Struthio camelus: one gene and its partner. The protein of the gene in region 1 interacts with the protein of each later gene in a pairwise test. Links are inferred from orthologs where the notes say so. Each region holds a gene or a part of one and is shown in the gene's direction. Other genes may lie near its edges.

The links.
Region 2: the proteins of DMRTB1 (region 1) and QKI interact in a two-hybrid assay, tested with the Homo sapiens proteins (2 studies listed by BioGRID). The link is inferred for Struthio camelus from reciprocal best matches to the Homo sapiens genes DMRTB1 and QKI.

Annotation. Positions count from the first base shown.
Region 1 is NC_090949.1:32,201,560-32,209,278, forward strand, and holds the start of DMRTB1 (doublesex- and mab-3-related transcription factor B1), read left to right. Parts: upstream 1-4,636; coding exon 4,637-5,051; intron 5,052-6,685; coding exon 6,686-6,918; intron 6,919-7,719.
Region 2 is NC_090944.1:86,806,032-86,814,110, forward strand, and holds the start of QKI (KH domain-containing RNA-binding protein QKI), read left to right. Parts: upstream 1-5,009; 5' UTR 5,010-5,689; coding exon 5,690-5,831; intron 5,832-8,079. UniProt on the Homo sapiens protein: RNA reader protein, which recognizes and binds specific RNAs, thereby regulating RNA metabolic processes, such as pre-mRNA splicing, circular RNA (circRNA) formation, mRNA export, mRNA stability and/or translation.

The DNA of each region.
Region 1 (7,719 bases):
AAGCATGCTTTGCATAGCTTCTCTAATTTTTGAAGATTTTAAACTCATGTACGAGCTCCATCCAGTTTTCTCTGACCAAAACATAGATTTTCACCTCTTGGAGACAGTAGATGGAAATCAGCATCTAATCCTGCTCCATCTAAAACCTGTATAACAATAAAAAAATCCACCCCAATGGAACTTCCGTTTGAATGACGGAAGATAACATAAAGGTGAATCTGCCCATATGGCTCTAAACAAGTTAACTGGAACCAGATTTAAAACTGGTTCAACCCAAAAGCATTTCGGCCATTTCAGCTCTGAAGGTAGGTGTGATCTAATCGTATTGAACTGTTTTAGACCGAAGTTTTTCCTAGCATTTTTAAAAAATCTGTTTACTACAGTACAATTCCATGGTGATTAGAGAAGTGGAAAATATAGTATAAGGAAGGAACTCCAAGACTCATGTTCATGGTCATCTAGGCTTGCTGTGCCCAGGATTAGACAGCCTCATAAGAATATTAACCAACAGCTGATCCTAGCAATTCTTTGACAGACACGATTGAGGGATACGTAGCAGTGTGAGGTTTACTGGTAAAAGAGACATGCTATAACGCCGATCAGTGGAATGATGTTTTAAAGGCTTTGATACTTTTTCTAAGGATCTTCTCCTAAGCATGAGCGTGACTGCAGAGGAAAGCATGAAGGTGTGTTTTCAGTGCTATTTAAAAAGATGATATTCTGGGCCAGGTGAAGGTGAGAGTCCGCATCTTGACAGGGGACATGGGCTGAGAGGAATGATGAGGACAGACTGTGGAAGGGATTTCTCTTCGGGGAAGAGAAGTAGGATAAAACTGATGCAAAAGAGGGGGAGGAATGCAAAGGGAGGATGACATAATCGAGAAGGACATGCTTTGTGGAAGGCTTCTGAGTGAAAAACTGTGGGCAAAGGAGACTGCTTTAGTCTAGACAGGTTTTCTGGCCATGTGGATGGGGAGAAAGGACATCTGTAACTGCAGTACAGTGTGGGGAGAACCAAGCTATATTTAAATTAACTAATACCCCAGGGACGTTGTGAAACGGAGACGGAAACACTTCCTTCCCAGCAACAGGATAGGGAAGGGAGCTCTGATGTTCCCTGGCTGTTTGGAGAAGCTTTCTGGCCAGCCAGCTTTCTGTGCGGCTTTCTGGGCCGCACCTGACTTGAGACATCCAGGAAGGCATCAGGACATTGACCTGAGAGCTTCATCAGTCAGTGCAGGGAGCCACAGCACCCAAGAGGGAGTGATGCCAGGAGATTCGTTGCCAATCTGCAGGTGAAGTCAACTTATTTGTTGAGGATGCATAACAGAAGGGCACTGGATGTGTTGCGGTGCGGAGCATCTAAAGCCTGGCTAGTCCTCATGAGAAAAGTCCTCCTTGTGCAGGTAAACGTCCTCATGTTAATTGTATCATATTTGATAGCAATAAACAAAGGACTCGTCAGTTATAACGTAGAAGAGCTGATAATGCTACTCCTGTATCAGTTTTTATCAGCTTCTGAACTATGCAGATAATGTTCAAAGAGAGGATTTTCTCTTCGCATGTGATGTCTTAAAAATTCAAAAGATATTCCTGACTGCTATGCGTATGAAAACATTTAATTTGAAGCAAGGTGAGTGCAAATGTTTGTTCGTGGAGATCTCAGACTGCAAGAATCACGAAGCAGAAGCTTCTGTGTGTGATTTTTGAACATTAGTCATTATAACTGAAGCAGTTTCAAAAAGCGTAAGCAGTCTTCCACAATTGCCCACCCTTGGAGCAAATTTCTTGATTGTGTTGTTAGTGCCGTAAGAAATGTCAAATCTAAGCAGAGCAATTGCCTTGCCAAAAACATTTACTGTATAAAATATAAGCTGAAAAGTCTGAGAAAGAGGAAAAACCCCAAACCCAGTTTTCTGCGATTCAGCTTAAAGACAGCCAGTGTTTTGATTTGTTCCTACCTAAATCGTGGCTTTTCTTTACTGTGTTTCACATACAAAGCAACCTGCATACCAAAAGCATGCACTTCAACAACCCAGAAGCTCGAAAGAAGTAGGGACGTTATTGCTACTGAGTTCAATACCGTGAAATCAAGCAGGTAGCTTTCCCTTCATTTTGGCAAGATAATAATTCTTATAAATCCTATTGTACTACAGAAGTCCGTCTGTACACACTTTATGTTACAGCCCCATTATATGATACCTCAAATATTGCAGTAAAGTAACTAAGCAGAGGAGAAAACAGAGTCTTTCGTATGCCTCATTTTCTTTCCAATGAGAACAAAGGAGAAAATGATAATTGACTTGAAGCTGCATGCACGTACAATTCTACATCACATTCCAAACATTTATTTTTGCAAATTGCTCTGTCTTCTCTGCACGGTAGTCTTGCTGATGGTGTGTGATAAGCTAACTCAAATGTATACATGAACACGTAACGAGACTGGAGCGGCCGAATTCTTCAAACTGTCTGCAGGAATACATATTCATCTCACGAACAAAATAAAATGCTCACTTTTCTATAGAAAGCACGTCTAGTCATGTTTGAAACAAATTATACGGAGAGCAGAATAAATCCTGAATGCCTCGGTGAAAACTGTTCAAAAGAAAAACCCACACGGCTTTCAGAGCTATGGTGTATGTATGGAGAAGACGGTTACTGCCCATGACCAGCATACCTTTCTTGAGAGGGGAGAGAGAGAAGTTAAGTATGTTTGAGCAAATGTCTCGAAAATTAGTATGATAGGAGTTGAAAATTACTATGTAAATTGTACGCAACCTACCCTTCTCCTCCACTATTTAAATATCCAGACAGACACAGAACGTGTATCTATGCAAAGATGTAATTGCAGTTGTTTAAAATGTGTCATCCGCGCTCTTTGATTCTACAGCTGAATATGCACATCCTCAAAATATACCAAAAATATGGGGCAGGAGACTAGGAATATGCTAGCATGCCGTATTTAATACAAAGTCAATGTTCAGAAGCATTACGGGATCATCATCGGCTGTTCAGGCCCCGGCACAAGCAAGCAGCACCTCAATGCTGCATTTAACAGTGAATTGCATTGAAGACATATTAACCAAGTGCTTTTCTGAACCGGGAACAAATGGTAACATTTTCTGGTCACACATTCAAAGCTATTTAGCCACAGTGCACCCGGGCCCATGCACGCGAAGGTGCCTTTCCGAACAGCCCTCTCGGAGACTTCCTGGGAAACAGGATTCCCGTTACGAGGGCAGGATACTGATTACATTTGCATACGGGCAAATCCCGAGGTCTGGGAGACGTGTGATCCCAAGGTCTGCAGGCTGGGATTGCTGCTGTGCTGGGCGACCTAGGGACAGAAGCTCGCGAGCATTTGAGAATTTGGGTCTAAATTGCTTTGGAGAGCGGGTCTTGTAAACAACTCCGCAGGAGGCTAACTCCTCCTGGAGGAGAGCTAAGCTCCGAAGGGGCCTTTTCCAAGTCAGAAGGCTGGAGGCAAGCTGAGCCCTGAGGCTCGCAGGGGCCAGGGGGTCTGGCTGCTCAGGGCCGGTGCAAACCAGACTGTTGCTAAATCTCTTAAAGAGGCAGCCCCGGCCCGGAGAGGCAGCGTGGTGCACCCAAGTCTTGCAGGACCGGCTGCTCCGCAGCAAGCGTTTCTGCAAGGCTGCCGACCCTGTTGCATGTTAGTAGAATTGCGTCGGGGCAGCAGAGAGATGGGACTTTGTGCTCTTGAAACGGATCGGGGGGGAAAAAAAAAGCTTATCACAAGTGCGTGGTGCTAGTTTATTTTCATAGCATTCTTTGTAGCGCTACAGAAGCTGTTAGCATCTCAGGATTTGAAAACAGAATTAGCTATTGCATGCGTGAGGCAAATCAGCAGTGTCATTCGGCACACCGCCCCATGCGGAGTTTTGCCCTGGGACTGGGCTAGTGTATGAAAGCCTGCTTTTGTAGCTACGAGCAGTTAACAAATAACACAAGGGTTTTACGAGCAATGCTGAAGCTGGGGCGTGCTTGCGTTGCTCGTTGCAAACCTGTGCCTGCTTCCTGAGCCTAAGGAGCGCTGAGTTTTCAGTTCTTCTAAACAGGAGACTGGTCTTTGGCATGTGCTTTCCCCCCTTACGGCAGAGCCTTGCTTTGAAAACCAGAATGATGAAATAGTCTTTTTTTTTTTTTTTTTGTGTGTTGCTGCTGCTGAAGCAGTCCCTCTCTCCTGCTGGTCAGGAGAAGGATACTGCAAATTGGAAACAAAATGAAACTGCTGCCTGTGTTGAAAGCAAATGCGAGGCAAGAGAGGGAGCGCAGCTGCTGGCGCGCCAAACAGGGAAGACTGATCATTTAAGCGCGCAGTGTACGGGGCTCTGGGTTTCACACCTCCGCGCACACGCCTCCGCCGCCGCCGCTCCACACAGTCCGAAGGGAGCCTGCCCAAAACTGCCTGCCTCCTCCTGCCCGCCGCCCCGCCAACCCCGCCGGGGCAGGCCTCGCCGGGCGCCGCGGCCCCCAGCCTCCGGGCAGCAGCGGGCCGGCTCCTGCCCCGCCTGCCCCGCTCGCTACACGCCGGGGCCGCGGCCATTGGATATATAAGAGAAGCGTCGCCGGCGCCTGGCTGAGCGAGCTCGCTCGCGGCGGCCGGGCCGGGAGCGGCATGGAGGCCGAGGAGGAGGCGGCGGCGGCGGCGAAGGCGGCTCTGCGGACGCCCAAGTGCTCCCGGTGCCGCAACCACGGCTTCGTGGTGCCGGTGAAGGGCCACGCCGGGCACTGCCGCTGGAAGCTCTGCCTCTGCGACAAGTGCGCCCTCATCTCCGAGCGCCAGAAGATCATGGCGGCCCAGAAGGCGCTGCGGCGGCAGGCGCCCGACCCCTCGGCCGCCGAGCCCGCCGGCGAGGGCCCCGGGGCGGCCGGCGCCTCCGAGCAGGGCGGCCCGGCGGCCGGCCGCGAGGGCACCAAGGGCGCCCCGCCGGCCGGAGGCAACGGCCGGGGCATGGCGCGCCGGGGACCGCCGCCGCCGCCACCGCCGCCGCCGCCGCCTGCCCCCGGCGGCGCCCCGCTCTGGGACTACGGTAAGGGTCGCGCCGGCGCCTGTCCCCGACGGCCATCCCCACCCTGCCCCGCTGTCCCCCGCGTCCGTCCCCTCCCTCCGTGCGCCCGGGTGAGCGAGGCTGCGTGTGTTTGTCCTGCGGCGGCGGCGTTTCCGATGGTGCCGGTGGTGCCGGGGTCGTGCGACTTTGTAGCTGCAGGAGCGATGCGGTCAGCTGCTCCGCTCCTGCAAGTGTTGCCACGCCGGGAGTTAAAGCCGGAGCGTTGCTCTTCTGGAGGGAAATTTGGGAGGGAAACCGAACTGTGACCAACTGCGCGAGAGAGGCGCGTGCGCACGTGTCCCCGAGCGCTGCCCCCTTGTTTACAGCTTCACAGACACGTCCCTTCAGCAAGAAAAACACTTAAAAAAACTGAGCAACGGCAAGTAAACGGCAAAGTTACTGCCGCAGTCGCCTAGAGCACGCGTTTTATGATAGCGCCATAAAAGAAGGAGACCTTTTGGCCTTCGTTCCTGTAGCAACGGCTTAGCTTGGCGCGGACCGCGTGGTGCAAAAGCGCGTTTGTATTTAAGAGTGGAGCATAGATTTTGCAGATGGAAAAGGTGTATGGTCTGTCACCTCTTAAATTGCTTCCTTTAATAGAGTCTTTCATGTGACTTGTCTAGTCTATTACTATTTATTATAGTAATTTCAGACTATTACTATTTACTGTGGTAATTTTACAGAAATCCCGACAGGCTGCAGTAGCCGTTAGCGTGGGCCTGTGGAGAGATGGCAGTTTAGAAGACAAAGAAAATGCTGGTCTGAGAAGCCCGGAGAAAAGAGTCATTTCAGACATCCCTAGTTCCCACCTCATCTGTCAATAACTGTTCCATTTTTTCGGCTTGGTTTCCTAAGGAAATGAGGCTTATGGATCATGCTGGCTGTGCATGTTCCTGTCAGTCTTTCCCTTAATAAAATTTTTAACCTGTTGACCGATTTCAAGCAGAGTTAGGGGCAAACAGCAGAATTATAGTACTCCGGTAGATTTATTCGAGAAGCAAACCCTTCCACTGCTACATCAACAGGGGGATGGTGCAGACAAGAAAGACCCTATTCATTTTCATGCAGCCCCTTTTTTTTTAGACATCAGAGAAGCCATGTGAGAGTTCAGGCACAAGATAAAAACCCAAAGGAAGCAGTTGATTCCTGCATCTGAAACTGCCGCTCTTTGTCACGGAACCTAAAAATGAGGACTTCTCTGCCTCTTAACTTTGGAAGTGCTAATAGTCCTGAATGTAGAGCTGTATATTATTTCTCTCTCTATATATGTTTTTTTTAGTTTTGATATATTTAAGTCTTAAGGCAGGTTGTTTTCTCCTGCTGTTGTGGCTATACTGAAAGAATAAGACTCTGCAGTCAGTGCTTTACTAAGGACTAGCTTCACAATGCACAGGAGGGTAGAAGAGACTGCAGCTCCTTCTGCAGTGGTTCGTTTGCCTGTTGCACCTTTCCTTAGTTCCTTAAAAAGATCACAAAAGAAGTTCATCGGGGTAAACGTGAAACCAAATGGCCAGGTGCTCCTGGCTGAGAGTGGAATTTGGCCCTGCAGCTATTTCGGTTGAACTCCACAGCACTACAGTGACGCTTCTATTTGTTCTTTGCTAACTGTTTCCCAGCTCACCGGGCTTTTCCTCCAGAATACGTGGTTAACCCAGAGTACCTGGAGAGAGAACCTCTGAAGGTGTACCCTGGGCGTTCTGGGGTGTATCCTTACCACCCGTTTCCCGTGGGATTTGCCATCAATCAATCAGGCTGCAGGGGAGCACCACCACCGGCAGGGATGTCGCTGCAAAGAGGTTTCCGACACGTTCCCAGCACCTATGGGCCAGGGAGCGCAGCTTCTCTGTCAGTAAGTAGTGGTTTTTTTACTTACCTCTGGAAAGACTGTTGTCTTTGTTTTTAGCTGCCTTCTTGCTGTGAAAGTAACCATGAAGAGTTACCTGCTTATCAGTTACTTCACAGCATCTTGATACATTGCACTGAAGAAACCAGGAGCAAGCAGTGACGTTAATAGCCTGTCCTGAAGCCGGGACATCAAACTCACGCAGTTATGAGGGGCTAGATTTTGTATTTGGGGGCTTACACCTCCTGCTGATGTCGACAGCAGCCTTTTGGGACGATGGCAGCTGGTCACTGACGTGGTCCTAGTGTACCAGCGTAGATGGCACAGAATGTGCACCGGGAAGCCTCTCTTCTTCCGTGTAGGACAGAAGTCATTGGGTGGGAAGGTATCTTGGGTTGGCCAACCCGCCGCAGCCACAGAGAAGGACAGGGAGAAATCTCTTTCGGCTTCCACAGGATACTGATTCAGCACAGTCAGGTGTTTCTGTTTTGGGACATTTAGTTTCTCAAAAAAAGTGGAAAATTGTTGTGGTTAGTGGAAGTTTCAAATGAAAAATGACTAACGGAAAACCCTGTTTTCTATTGAGAAAAACGTTGAGCAGAAAGTTGAGATCGTATTGAGGGGGAACGGACAGGTGTATTTTGTAAGGAGTATGAAAGCTGAGGGTGGCGAGCAAAGTACCCAGCTGAGGGATAGACCAGGGCAAGGCTTAGCCCACACCTTCAAATCACAGAGAAATGGTAAGGAGCAAGATCCTAAACGGCCTGTCAGCTGTAACAGCGTGTGTGGACTCTTTTAGTTAACCTT
Region 2 (8,079 bases), on another chromosome or scaffold:
TCTTTTCTCCCCAACCTAATGACTTCATAATCACTAAATAACCTGAGGAGGAGAGAGCAGAATATAGGTCTTTCTACTCTTGCATAAGTAGGCTAATCACAGTCTTCTTCTGGCACCTTTACTCCAACCTGTGGAATGGCTCAGTTCCAACAGCAGAGATTTTCAGGCATACTACCCTTCTCTTCCCAGCTGCTGTACAGATTACAGTGCCTTAGGTATAGAAGATGCAGATCTGAATCCTTCCAGACTAAAGTATGCTTAAATCCCAGATCTTCCATATCTTCAGTGACCACTTTGCTGGTGAGCAAAAATGACGCATTATCTTTTCCGGGACTACATGCAGCAATGGAACCTAGGTCTACCTGTTACAACCAGGCTATGTTTAATGGATCAAGCTTATCTTGAGATTTAAACAGAACTCAGACATCTCTTCAACTCTCTGCTGTTTAAAGACACCACTCCAGCTGGATTAAGCGCCCATTTCTACAGCCAGGATACACCAGGCATGCGGAATAGACAGGTAAGCTTTAACATTAATATGTAATGAACTCGAGGACTGCAACACAGACTTTCAGGTGTTTTTGTTTTGTTTTTTAAACTCTTCCCCTTTTTTGGCTATGAATACTAGGCCCTTTGCTTATTACTTTGAACCATGCAGTACTATGGCTTTTGTTTGAGACGTTATCTGACATCTTAATAACACAGGCAAATGAAAGAGTTTTTTAAAGAGACTTTCGGACGCATCACAGTATCACTACAGTCGATTTCTTGAGCTTTTTAGTCTGGCTCTAGATCTTACTCCATTCACATGTTAATCACCTTCCAGAGATCAATGAAGATTCAATGTCCACCTGGTAGTGGCCATGTCTAACTGCTGCATCCCAAATGCAGTGTTTTATATACCACAAACAAGTCAATACTGGATGACAAACGCACCTAAAGTGGTCTTTTTCCTTAAGTGACCGTAAGGGGTAATTGAAGAATTGCTTCTTTCCCTAAAGAAGGGAGGTACTGTTACCTTACTGTTTCAGATAGTATTTGCAGAAAGCTGATGATGTCCAGCTGCAAATGCCTATGACTTGGTCTAGTGCCTCTGTTAGCACGTAGAAGAGATTACAGACTAGTAGGCTTATAGGCTGGAAGACACAACCAACAGAAACAGTGGAAGCAACAGCCAACATTAACTGAAAGAGTATGTTTCCCAGTAGTCATCAGCCTTCAGCTCTCCTATTTCCCAAGCTGCTATCAGATATGAATGTTATAACAGTAATTGAGTTTGCTTTTTATGATCAGTGCAAGGGCTTTACTGTAATACGCAGAGGCTGCTGCTGGAATTATCACAGTTTTTCTTATTTCAAGATTAGATTAACGCAATAAAACTTCACCCCTTAAAAGAGAAACTGCTGGAGAATACTGCAGCTTGAATGGTACAGGAAGGGCTACCTAGATGAAAGCACAGGGGTTAAAGATCTGTATTTCTGCTTGTGTCCCCACAGAATTTAAAGTTTTGGGTTGTTATCTACAGAACTATAAATAGGATCTGGTTACAAAAACAAAAAAAGTCCACATATTTTTCCCCTCATGGGAAAGTAACAAAATCCAGTACAGTGCAACAGCATTTCTAGCTCCTCTGTAGATCAGGCTCCAGGCACGTCAGTCTTCATGGGAGCTCTGAGTTTCACAGCCCTTTAACCAGAACTACTTCTACCTGCGTCTTCCACGCACTCTTAAAATCCCCTTTCTGGGGCATGGAAGTGCAGGAACGAAGAGACAGAGAGGAACATGAGAAGGTATGCTTGGAAAGACTTTTAGATAACTTTGTTTTTACTGTATACGTGATAAAGTAAGATGTCACACTGATGTGCTTATTTAAAACTAATGGTGAGCTATCTGCAATACTTATTGCCAAAACATTTAGCTTCTCTGAAGGTATCTTCCCAATGAATTAAAAATTCACAGTCTTAAAAATATTTGTGGAAAGATGAAGGATGAGAATTTTTCCTAAGTCAGTTATGCCTAATTATATTGGCAGTTTCAGCACATAGATTTGACTCAATTTTTGCACTATTTAGACCGAGAAGACAAATCAGATTAACACAGAGTAAACTAGAGCTTGAATTTTGCAAGGCAATAGCTATTCCTCAGTAACTGCTGGTGTGCATCATCTTATTCCCCGCTAAATAATGTAACATAGCTTAGGGATGAGCTGTTTTGTTTCTATTGGTAAGTAAAACAACTGGCAGTTACCATTCAATAACTTTTGCTAGCATTTCTTACCTTAAATTATGTGCTTGTTTTCTCTGTGCATATTCACACACTGTAAGCACCTTATGTGCAGGGAGCACTGGGAACAGCTGCACTAAATCTGCTGGAAAAAAGTCTCCATTTGCTATTTTTACTATGAGAATTGGCACTCCAGAACAATTATTCTGATATTATCTAAGTTCATCTCATTTTATCATGAAGGACTGCTGGCTGAGTGATATCCTTAATCAAATTGAAGGATTTAATAACAAGTTTTCTTAGGGTTATAAAGAGCTTTCACTCACTGGGTGAAAAACAAGTAAATAAATGGCTACAAGCAAATGCATCATCTTTCAGACTGATCTGCAATGATGACATGCAGGGATGACAGTTTTGTTAGGCCTATAAGGTGTGTTCTGGCTTTAGGCACAACTTTAAAGCAAGAGGGGGGGAAAAAAAGCAATTGTATCTTCATTATTAAATGGGGTATTGTTTCGTGATCCATAGCCATACTGCAGCGTACTTCAGGCATGCTGTTCATGGACTAAGAATCTAAACTGAAGAAAAAACCAGCTCATAACATTGTTACTCTCTCCTTGGTAATAAAACTAGTAGGTGTTTTTACTTGAGTATACAGGGGTTGTGTTTTTTGAATGATGCAACCAATAAATATGACTTATCTTATATAAGTAAATAAATATTACATAGCATAAATCCAAAAAATTCTCTTGTTTTAAAGAGTTCTAAATGTTTACAACAGAAGAATCCAACATGCAACAGAAAGGACGCAATAATCTAAGGCAGTTTTACTAATACGAGAGCTACACTTTCTCTAAATTTTTGTCAATGCGTATCTTTTAGAAAAAGTACAACAGCAGTGCTTGACAACACCCAATAAAACTGCACACTTGTCAAGAAGACAATGCGGTTGTGCTTCTTTTTAGTTTTGGAAGAAGTACTTATGATGAACTCAGTTTTTCAATTTTCTTCAAATACTGTGCGGTACATATGACATTACATATGAATTCTGTATCAACTTCAAGCAATATCTAGACTCATATACTCCTACAACAAGCAGTATCTAGACATATATACGCGTACAGCAGGGGCCACTGCACGGCAAGGCACATGAACAATGACTGCGTGATTTCAGTGAACTAGAAGAAGTGTGAAAGGAAAATATTTTATCCAGTTTTATAATATAAGTTCTTCCAAATTACTTATAATTGCATCAAGGTCTTCTGATGATATCCTAAATAATAAAAATCAAACAAGAACATCAAGTAGCAGCATGGGGAAGGCGACGACGACCAGGAACACATACAAACAATCGCGTCAAGCTGCTTTGCCTCTGCGGCTACAGTGGAGCACGTTAATTTTGATTCTGGCTGCCAGACTCTGCTTCTCCCATCACGTCTCCCACCCAAACCCCCCAAACAAGCTTCGAGTGATTCGCGTCCAACTCCCTGCCGGTAAGGCTCGGGCGCCGGGGCAGTGCCGCGCCGGGGACCTGCACGGTGGTCCGCGCTGCCGAGGACCGAGCCGGGCCCAGCCTCCGCGGGCGCTGCTGGCGGCCGCGGAGCGCCGAGGCGGGCGGATGGTGCCGTTGGCACGCGGCACAACGCAGCAGCACCCGCCGGGTGCGGGGGCCGCCGCTTCTCCGGCGTCGGTCGGGCTCGCGGGGGGGGGGGGAGGGGGCGTGCGTCTGGAAGGCTAGACCGGCACCGCCTGTCTTCCTCCTTCGCCCCGCGCCAGCGCAGCCAGCCAGCCAGCGCCTCCCGCAACGGTCCGCTCCGCGCCGTTCGAACGGGGCCGTTAAACCGCTCCCGCAGCGCGCGGAGAGCGGCACACGCCACCTGTCCCAGCGGGGTGGCTGGGGGGAGGGGGCGCGCTACACCCCCCCCCTTCTCCTCTGCCTTCCCCCGGGGGCTGGTCACAGCGCCGTCCCGCAAGGCCTACTGCCAGGGAGCTCCCTCCAACCCGGCCGCGGCCCCCAGTACCTCAGCCCCGCGCCGCTTTCTCCTCCTGCCCCCACGGCCGCTTTAAGGATTAGAAATTGCTCCTCGTGCCGCGCAGCCACGCGCACCGCCCACAGCCCGCGGGCGCATGCGCGACGCAGTCAGCCGCCCCTCCCCGCCCCCGCCCAGCTCGTTTCCCCTCTGCCGCGCGAGGCGGCAGCCGCGTTGTAAACGAAAGGCGCACGCGCGTCTCGGCGCGGCCCGTCCCCGCCCCTTGGGTACCCACGTGACCCAGTTCCCCCCCCCCCCCCCCCCCCCCCCGCGCGGAATCGGTGAAGTAACAGGACTTTGTTTAGAAGAGTTTCTGTGCGCGCGCGTGTTTCTACGGAGCCAGCCGGGAGGCGGGGGGGGAGGGGAGGGGCGCGGGAGCCGCACGCGACGCTCCGCGCCGCGCCCGCGCGCTTGCGCCACCTATCCGCGCGCACACGCTCGGAGGGGCGGGGCCGGGGGAGAGATACCCCCCCTCCTCCGCATCGGGCCCGCGGCTCGCCGCCCCTCCCCCCGCCGAGCTGCGGCCGCCGCCGCCGCCCAAGGGGCTCGGAGCGGAAAGGGAGCGACGGTTGGCTCCGCCAAGCGGCGCTGCCACCGCCGCTTAACGGCCGCCCCGCCCCTGCGCCCGCCCCTCGGCGTGTGCCCACCCCCGCGGGCCCTGCCCCCTCCCCTCCTCCTGCCGCCGCTGCTGCTGCCGCTGCCAGCGCAGCCTGAACTGAAGCGAACTCCGGAGCGAACTGAGGAGAAGTGAGGAGGCGGCGGCGGGGCTGACACTCACCAGCCACAGGCGGCGGCGGCGGCGGCGGCGGGAGGGCGGGCGGGCCGGCGGGAGGCGGAGAGGACACACCAGGCGCAGCGCGGCGGCAACAGCAGCAGCGGCGGCGGCAACAGCAGCAGCAGCGAAGAAACACCGGCGGCGGCTCCTCGGAAGCGGCAGCCTCGCCAGCAGCGCCCGCCCGCCCCGCTCGGCCCCCCTCCTCCCTCCCCCGCCGCGGAGACAGCGGGCAGCGCCGAGGAGAGAAGCCGGGCTCAGCGTGTGTGTGTGCGCGGGAGGAGGAGGAGGAGGGGGGGAACACATCGAGGACTGCGCCGGCCGAGGGCGCACGGAGCAGGGAAGCGGCCCCGGCGGCGGCAGCAGCACCGAGAAGAGGCGGCGGCGGGTCCTTGTGCCCGGGGAGGAGGGCGCAGCCCGCGAGGGGGTTTCTGTCGAGTTTCCTCTTTTTTTCGGTCCCTTGGACTCGGCGGCCGGTTTGCGTTTGTCTCCGGATTTGAATCCTCCTCCTTCTCCTCCTTCCTCGGGGAAGCTCCCCTCCCCGCCCCCTCCCCTCCCCCACCACCTCCCTGCCCGCTCGGATCCAGCCGGGCGCCCCGTGCCGCGGTCGCGTTGCTCGGCGGAGCTGGTGCGGGCGCTCGCCGTCTCTGCGCGCGTTTGGAATATGGTTGGGGAAATGGAAACCAAGGAGAAGCCGAAGCCGAGCCCCGATTACCTGATGCAGCTCATGAACGACAAGAAGCTGATGAGCAGCCTCCCCAACTTCTGTGGGATCTTCAACCACCTCGAGAGGCTGCTGGACGAAGGTAAAAGCGCTTCCCTGCCCCCTCTCTCCCGCTCCGCCGCCCTGCCTTGCCTCCCCCACCCCTTGCCTGGGCCTCCAGGCTGCTCTCGGGCTCCCGCTCTGCCCCCTCGCCCCTGCCCCGACAGGCCCGGGGTGGCCGTGGGGAGTTTGGGGCCTGTTTGCCTCTCCCTCTCTCTTTCTCTCGCTGGTGTTCATCGCTCGTTCTCGGCCCTCGCCTGAGCCCTTAAAACAAAGGGGAAGTGTGGGATCTCCCCGCCCTGATTCCTGGCTTGTGGTATTGGGGGACTTGGCGAGAGAGTGGGAGGGGAAGAGGGAGCCCTGAGTGTACAGGTCCCTGTTTTTTTTTTTTTGTTGTTGTTGTTGGTTGTTTTTTTTTCCGCGCTGTCTCCTAAAACCGGGGGAAGGGTGACTACCACATGGAGGGGAGGGAGCGAGTAGAGACGAGGAGAGGAGCTCAGGAATGTGCTTTGGGGGAAGGTAGGGGAGGAGGGGAAAGCGTTGTTTGCAACGCTGCGTGGCTCCCCGTTCACGGCGGAAAGTATTGGGAGAAGAGAAGGGTCCTGTGCGGTGCGTTTTGTGGGAGTGTTAGCCGACTCGCTCGGAGGGCCTGGAGCAAGGGGGTTGGGAGGGTGTTTGGTTTCGAGATTTGGCTGTTCTGGAAGCTGCTTGAACTTGAATGACTAAGGCCGAGGGGGCCGAGCTCTTTCTTCAGCTCCAGCACTACCCCACCCCAAACTGGCCACAAACTAATTACAATTTTCCTATATTGCAAGAGAAGCGAGCGAATTCGACTGTCGGCTATTCTTACCTTTTAAAGAAACTAACTTGAAAGACTCCTACGTATGACTTTAGTGAAAAAAAGAAATTACGAAATTGCCTCCTCTGCTGCTGCCAAACGTCCACTGCTGCCTCTAACCCCGGCGCCGTCTGCAGCCCCGCACCCAATTCCTGCTTCGAAGTGATGAGAGGCCGCTCATGTGGGTTGGCGCCCCCCCCCCCACTTTTTTTTTAATAGCTTCTTTTAAGGGTGCGTCTTTACAAATATATGGCTACGTTTTGAAATACGTTAAAAGCTAGAAACTTCATGCGTCCCATACGTTTTCCCCTACAGTGGCAGACTACTGTGTTGAAAATAAGGCGACCCATTTCTTCTTGGTATATTGGATTAGCTTTGTTTGGGTTCACAGATTTGCCTTTCTTTTTAAAAGATTTTCCTTCCCTACCATCTAAACCTTGGCTTTCCGGAAAGTGAGAACTGTTTAACTCTACAAATTTTATAAAGCTACCGAATAAAAACAGAAGTTACTTATGCAGCTTCAACTTCTTGAGAATCTTAGCATGAAATACTGAGTTTCGAGATTTTGAGTTAGGATTTTTGCTTGTAGCCGTATTCCTCCTGGTTAAACGAACTTTGGGAAGTTGTTGACCTCGGAAGATGAAAGAGCTGGTTATATTTGATAGAACAACTCCCCGCCCTCTCCAAAGACTGTAAAAATGAGATAGCAACTGGAGTACAACAGAAAATAGCATATTGAGAAAACTCGACTTTCTGAAATAAATGATAGAGGAGTTTTTTTTAAAAAAAAAAAACAAGTAGAGAATATTAACATAAAAATAGAATCTCCCCATATATAGCTTCCCGTAGTCCGTCTTTTAAAGAATTTGATAAGCTGTAAATTCACTATAAATTTTACTTTTCAAATCTGTGTGTTCTGCTATTTAGAACATGTTTTCTATGGTGATGGAGAACATGACATATTTGGAATAATTAGCAAGGTTTATAATAAACATCAAGAAGAAACTTGACCAAGAAGACTTTTTAGCACAAATGAGCTTTTCATACATTTTAATTTTTTTTTAATTCCTAAATCTCTTGAAGTTTATGTATTTAGCCAGAGAAGGCCTCAAACTTATTTTGTCAAAGAACAAAAGGAAGAGAAACGTCCCAGATAAGGAAAGGACACAGGGGAAAAAAGGAATGTCTAGAGCCTTGCATCTTTTGAGATTGTTTAAATTCAGGAAGCTCTGGAAATCTCTGTTTTGTGAAGTATTAGAATCCAAAAATGAGGGATGTGGAGACTCTTGCAGAAGACGCTCTTTTAAGAGTTAGTAGTGCTGAAGCTATTCTTCACCCCTTCTTAAAAAAAAAAAATTATCTGTATTTCTAAATAGCTTCAGAAAGAATTCTGCTATCCCTTTAAGCTTTTTTGCTTTTCCTGTTTACGTTGGCAATTGGGTGGAAGTATTGT